2 linked regions of the Oryza sativa Japonica Group genome follow. The protein of the gene in region 1 interacts with the protein of each later gene in a pairwise test. Links are inferred from orthologs where the notes say so. Each region holds a gene or a part of one and is shown on either strand. Other genes may lie near its edges.

Region 1 (3,476 bases):
AAGGTTTGTTTCCAGAACGTTAAGAGGAGAGGTCTTATGAACCTTCTTTTCGAGAACGAAACCACGTATGTCTAACAAATGGCATACCAAAAAGGGAAAAGAAAAAAGGTAGGAAGAGTGGCTTTTTCTGATGGTACAAAAAGTCCAAATCGATTCAAGTGCCTGTTTCAAATTTCAAATTCAAATGCTGCGTTTGTTCATTCGTGAGGTCCATGCTCCACCTGTTTGTAATCTTGTTTAGGAATAAGTTGTCGTCCCTTAACTTGGTTTGATTGACATTTCTAATTTCAAATATCAGAAATCTTCAACTCTAAACTATACAAAATCGTACAATTAGAGTCCCATGGTAGTATAGACCCCATTTCCTCCTATTTTTGTTTACGTGGCAGATATCTGAGCCCACATGTCAACATGCTGAGTCACCCATGCCGTTTCAACGTGCTCTCGTTGGCTGTTTGGCAGGATGTCCTCCTACGCCTGCAGCGCGTCCACTGACATCGATTGATAGAGACACCGACGCTGTGATGATGGTGTGCATGAACTGCATCTCCCTCAGCTCATCAAGGTCAAATCAAATCATTCACGTCGTAACGAGCGGGCTAGAGCCGGATTGCACCATTCACGCTGTAACGAGAGGGCTAGTGCTGGGCCGTCACTCTACCTCTAGGGCCATCACCACTACGCTCAAGGCCATGCCGCCACATGCATCCAAGCCGCCTAAGCCGGCGTGCCATTGTTGCGCCTTGAGGGCAGGCCACTGCTACGCGTTGGGCCCGCCCAGACGCGACTGTGCCTCAATGCTATCCGATTCTACGTGTCGGGGCCAACCAACCGATGCGCTGTTGCTCCATCTAAAGGCTGCACCGTGGCTCGACCATGAGGCTGGGGCTGCCCAGCCACCACTCCGGCTTGAGATGGCGAACTTGGCGCTAGCGGTGGAGTCATCATCAACCTCTATGCAAACGCTGCTGCCGTCAGGAGCTAGCAAACAGGCAACGAGAGAGCTCACTCCGTTGACACGGCATTGGTGATAACATGCTGATAAGTGGGCCCAAATATCTACCACGTAAGTGAAAACAAGGAAAAATATGATCTATACTGCTATGGACCTAAGGTGCATGGTTTTATACAGTTTAGGGTATAGACTTCTGGTATTTGGGAGTATGGATGTCGATCAAACTCGACATAAAGTTGAGAGTTGGCCGGTGGACTTATCCCTCCTGTTTATACCACCGTGTTGTTGTGACCCATGGTCAGCCCGGCCCAATAAACACACGAAGGCCCAATAGCCCAAACAATCTAAAACCCTAGAAATCCAATATACAAAGGTAGTGTGCTCCTGCCTCCGCGTGGTTTCCATCCCCGCGCGCGCCGCCCCTCTCCGCTGCCGGCCTCCGCTCCTCCTCCGGCGCCGTCGCCGTCCCATCGGCCTCCGCTTGCCGCCCGCTCCGCGCTATTCACCCCGGCCGGCAGGTGAGCATCGGTTTCCCTCTCCCCGTTTTCCCCCCATGGTTTGGGTTTCTCCGAGGCAAGGGGAACCGCGTGCGTGTTTGTTCTTGCCGTTCGGAGTCGCCGTTGATGCCGCCGCGAGTATATAGACATAATCACTGAGATGCATGTAATGAAGTATCTGGAGCGAGCGAATGGATAAACCCTAATCTCTCCCGGCTCCTCCTTTGAAGGAGTGAAGAAAAACTAGACTGTTATTATCATTCAATTGTGACTATCATTTTCTTAGCTTCGTGCTGCATGATTGTTTTGATTGACTTATCTGTATGTATTGCATTCTGTGGTGCCTATCATTTATGGGATTGTGCTGATTGATTTATCAATCCTGCAGTGACAATGGCAAGGCTTGCAGCTGAAGACCCATTGGTTCGCGATGAAGCCATATTGGATGATGATGATGATGATGTTGATACCGACGAGGAAGAGTCCGAGTCGGAAGATGATTCAGGGGAGGAATTCCATGCCGAGCCTTCCAAGAAAGCTGTCTACAACAAGGAGGGGATCCTGGAGAAGCTCGAGGACATTGCGTGGCCGGAGAATGTGGACTGGAGGCACAAGCTCACTATCGAACATGACCAGGGGGAGAAAGTCGATGTGAACGACGATCTTGCTCGTGAGCTTGCGTTCTACACGCAGGCTTTGGATGGTACGAGGCAGGCCTTTGAGAAGTTGCAGTCTATGAAGGTCCGGTTTCTCAGGCCGGCTGATTACTATGCTGAGATGGTTAAGACCGACGCTCACATGCACAAGATCAAGGGGAGGCTCTTGTCTGAGAAGAAGAAGATTGAGGAGGCTGAGGAGAGGAAGAAGGCGAGAGAGGCCAAGAAGAGGGCGAAGGAGGTGCAGGCACAGAAAGAAAAGGAGAGGGCCAAGCAGAAGAAAGAACAGATTGAGTCCGTCAAGAAGTGGAGGAAGCAGAGGCAGCAAGGGGGCTTTGCCAAGGGAAATGATGATGGGCCAGATCTGAATTTTGAAGGTGACGAAGGGTTCAAGCAATCAAAGAAAAAGAGGCCTGGTGTTTCTCCTGGTGATAGGTCTGGTGGTCTTGCTAAGAAGGGTAAACAAGGAAAGAACAGGAAATCAAGGGATTCCAAGTTTGGGCATGGTGGTCGGAAAGGGCTGAAGAAGCAAAACACTGCGGAGACGACAAATGACTTCAGAGGATTCAACCAGATGGACAAGTCACAAAACAAGAGGAGAAAAATGGGTTGACGCGATATTGTAAGAATCTGCGTCTGCTTCCTTGAGCTGTATTACTAGTTGTTTTTGGTAACTTTATTTTACTGCAGTACATCGTTGCTAGATGCGAACGTTAGTTGAGATAGATTGTAGGAGGCAGTTAAAACAAAAGACCATTTTATGTTTTAACTATGCTGTTCTCCACAAGATATTTGCATGTATCTGGTGATGGCCCTTTTTCGTTGTGTGATGTGGAAGAATCAATCTTACCCTGGAATTATCCTAAGAGTGTCTTAAGGATGCTTGGTGCACTTCCTGTTTTGATATGTTATCTTTCTGACCGTTATTTTATATTGATGCAACAAAACTGAAACGTAAACAACACTTTCCTATTGTGTTGTAAATTTGTTTATTGGTGAGTCAAGTCTCCCTCTCTTCTATCTTAGATTATACTCCAATCAGCATAACTCATTTGGTTACCTTGTTTCTTTCCCTGTAGTTTCTAGTGAATGATATCATTTGTGAGTTTCCTCACTGCATTAGTTGTGATGGAATTTCAGAAAGAGCTTGCTTTTGTACTGCATTTGATTGTGATGCTTCCTTGCTCTTCATGGTGGATGTGCATGTCCATGTGGAGTGGATACCATTTCCCATTAAGATCGTGAATATGGTAGTAGTACTTTTGCATTATAGCTACAGTGTCCTTTTGGTCTTTACCTCGATTAGCTTGGAATGAGCTATACTGATAGTGATTTGATGCATGGAAGCCCATGCTTATGTTGCTTCTT
Region 2 (3,478 bases), on another chromosome or scaffold:
CTCGCAGTTCACGTGCGGAATCTGTAATTTATTTTGTTATAAGTCTACATTTAATACTTCAAATGTGTGTCTTTATACGTTTTTCTTTTCTAAAACAACTAAACGCGGCCATAGTTCGTTAACCACGAGCTAATCGTCTGGGTTTTCGACTAGATTTTTGTCACCAGATATCTTTGTTAATACAATCATTATTATTTGTATATTGCAGCATGCAGCGGCAGCGAGAGCGAGGACCACCGAGTTCCTCCTCCTCCTAGTTGATACCCTTTTGGGAAGAAACCAAAAGAGCCAAAGATTAAGAAAAAAAAAACAAGCTAAGCTAGCCCAACGGCAAAACGGAGTGGGTCTCATTGGATCGCTAGCGTTTTTTTTGTAGCTAAATTATTCACTGGCACGCGGGAGAAACATAGAGCATCCACGTCGACAAGTGGATTTAGCGCCTACAAGTACCACATGTTTCTGTATCCCTACACTAGAATACTCCTATTTTCTACTATGCAATAATGGACTATAGTACTTTGTTAAGACGAAAGAAATCACGTTAGTACGTCACCGGGAACAAGCTGGCTCCATTTTACTATATCTCTTTGCATAGTTGCATGAATGCCATGGTCTCACAACCCCATTTCCGATGCTGATTAGTTGATTAATTTTCCTCCTAATCAGTATCATCTCGATCGGTGAGCTCGGGCAGGATAACATAATGAACACCGTTTTGTAGCCATTCCGGGTACATGGGGGCGTATGACCAAGGCAGAAAGGATGTATCCGGAAACGGCAAGTTAAGGTCCCCACTCCCCCACAAACAAATTATAGTAACACAACGGTGGAACGTTCGAATTGTTATAGAACTACTGATATTTACATAATCGGGAGTGCTTGGTAAAAGGGTTAGTTTGGTAATATTTGATTTGATTCAAGGCATATTTTTTTTTTGCCCAATTATCGTAAAGCCAAAAGCACGTAACAAAAAATAAATAATTCTATGCTATAAGAAGATTAAGGTTCAAATATTCTTTCATGTTGTTTTACAGCCTCATCGATTGCTCACATATTCTAATGAGGTTTATTAGAAAATAAAAACTAATTTACAGGTAAAACTTTTATATGTGTGTTATTAACGATTTAAAATTCAATGCTAAAAAGAAACTACGTTGAAAATATCTTAAACTAAACTTCGAAATTAAATTTGAAAATTTAAATTGTGTTTTTTTATTAGGACAACCCATGAGGCTTTTCTACTTATACTCTATTAGAAATTCAACACATCCCTCGTTCACTTAGAAATTTTAATGTTAGAATCGTTATATTGATCTTCTGCTACCAAATGAGCCCTGTCACTGTAAGTCTGTAACGATATTAACAAGTCGTCGTCCCATCCAATTAAACCAAAACTTATAAAGAGTGTACTAGATCTCTAATACAAACAAAACATGATGGACTACCCAAACCTTCAAAAGATTCTGTTCAAAACAATTAGAGCCCCGTAGAAGTCAAACAGTGAGCTGCCCCTGCCTGTGCTGTCCGTAGCAAATCCAGAACTGCGAAGATCGCAAGCAAAGCAAACTTTTTTTTTTTATCGACGTGCTCCCAACTGGCCAGCCACAACAAACACCCTCTCCCGTTTCATCCCCACACATCATGAGATACATTTGATACTACAGCTCTACTAGTGCTGCCGCTACTCATGGCGCTGATAGCCATACGCGCATGTGTGCAAGTGCAATGCAACCCAGCTCCCACAAAAAAGTCACAGCTAGCTAGCCATCGATAGCTCTCGGCGTCTCGCTCACATAGACCCTAGCAAAGCGAAGCACCGCGTTGCATGCGCCCAGCTGCTGCTGCTCACCGCGCCACATCGCAGCTGCAGTAGAAGTAGATCAGAGAGAGGCGGAGACAGATCGAGATAGAGAGGACTAGAGGAGGAGGAAGAAGCAGCAATGGAGCAGCAGCAGGAGCGGCCGCGGGAGGTGTACAGGGAGTGCATGCGCAACCACGCGGCGAAGCTGGGGACCTACGCGAACGACGGCTGCTGCGAGTACACCCCCGACGACGGCCACCCGGCGGGCCTGCTCTGCGCGGCGTGCGGCTGCCACCGCAACTTCCACCGGAAGGACTTCCTCGACGGCCGCGCCACCGCCGCCGCCGGAGGGGCGGGAGGCGCCGGCGTCGGCGTCGCGCCAATGCTGCCGGCCCCCGGTGGAGGCGGGCCGCCGGGATACATGCACATGGCGGCGATGGGAGGAGCGGTGGGCGGCGGCGGCGGCGTCGACGGCGGCGGCGGCTCCGGGGGGAGGCGGCGGACGCGGACCAAGTTCACGGAGGAGCAGAAGGCGCGGATGCTGCGGTTCGCGGAGCGGCTCGGGTGGCGGATGCCGAAGCGGGAGCCCGGCCGCGCGCCCGGGGACGACGAGGTGGCGCGCTTCTGCCGGGAGATCGGCGTCAACCGGCAGGTCTTCAAGGTGTGGATGCACAACCACAAGGCCGGCGGCGGCGGCGGCGGCGGCGGCAGCGGCGGCCCCGGCGCCGGTGGAGGCGCCCAGACGTCGTCGTCGACGACCAGGGGCGGCGGCGACGTCGGGGTGGGCTTGTCGCCGGCGATGGGCGGCGACGGCGAGGACGACGAGGAGGTGAGGGGGAGCGAGATGTGCATGTAGGAGCCACGTACTTACGTAATGCAGGCAGCATTGCAAATTTGCAATTGCATTGCTAGGGTGGGATAATTCACAATTTAATTAACTCTCTCTTTTTTTTTGCTAATTTCTTTTATTTTTTGCTTCCCTGAGTTGATTCTTGCTGATGAGATTGATTGTTTTAACGGTGCCACTAATTAATTGTGTGTTATTATGATCATTCATTGGTCAATCGATTTTGTTGTAACACTCAAAGGAGATGCTTCATAATTTCTCCTCTTATTTCCCTGTATATCTTGCATAAGCTCACTACTCAAAAGAGATGCATTGTACTGAGGAAGTACGTAGTACATACGAAGGGCATGCTTCTTTTGTTATTCTTTTATTCGACATCAAGCAAGCATGAATTTATAGCACGCCAAGAATCAAGATGGGCATAAAGTTTTGGAAAACTGCTTCTGTTAATTCTATTGGAAGTTCGCGCTTTCATTTTTTTGTAACCACCAAAGTTTGTGATGTACTAGCACTGAACTTTATCTCTATTCCCGCGTAGAGAAATTAATTTTATTTGGGTTTCACTATGATTTTCTACTACTAAAGAAAATTAAAAGGCTGTTTCTAGAAAGTAGCATCGGAAATAAAGACGCATTCCACATTTGCATTGAATGTGTTATACTTCCTCAATACTCGATTTTTCGAACAACATTTTTGTCAAACTTTTAAACTTTTGACAATAATTCTGTATCATTTTTAGAAAACCACGGTACAAACACCTCACGTCCCGTACACATTCACTCATATAAACATACCCCTATGAATACCTTCGAAACCCACATGAATGCCTT

The links.
Region 2: the proteins of probable rRNA-processing protein EBP2 homolog (region 1) and zinc-finger homeodomain protein 11 interact in binary tests that used the Arabidopsis thaliana proteins (3 or more experiments, as listed by UniProt). The link is inferred for Oryza sativa Japonica Group from reciprocal best matches to the Arabidopsis thaliana genes AT3G22660 and HB32.

The regions. Positions count from the first base shown.
Region 1 is NC_089041.1:17,360,385-17,363,860, reverse strand, and holds probable rRNA-processing protein EBP2 homolog, read left to right. Parts: upstream 1-1,330; 5' UTR 1,331-1,473; intron 1,474-1,840; 5' UTR 1,841-1,845; coding exon 1,846-2,721; 3' UTR 2,722-2,974; downstream 2,975-3,476. UniProt on the Arabidopsis thaliana protein: Required for the processing of the 27S pre-rRNA. Plays an important role in plant growth and senescence by modulating ribosome biogenesis in nucleolus. Associates with ribosomes.
Region 2 is NC_089037.1:29,969,308-29,972,785, forward strand, and holds zinc-finger homeodomain protein 11, read left to right. Parts: upstream 1-1,592; 5' UTR 1,593-1,940; coding exon 1,941-2,657; 3' UTR 2,658-2,758; downstream 2,759-3,478. UniProt on the Arabidopsis thaliana protein: Putative transcription factor.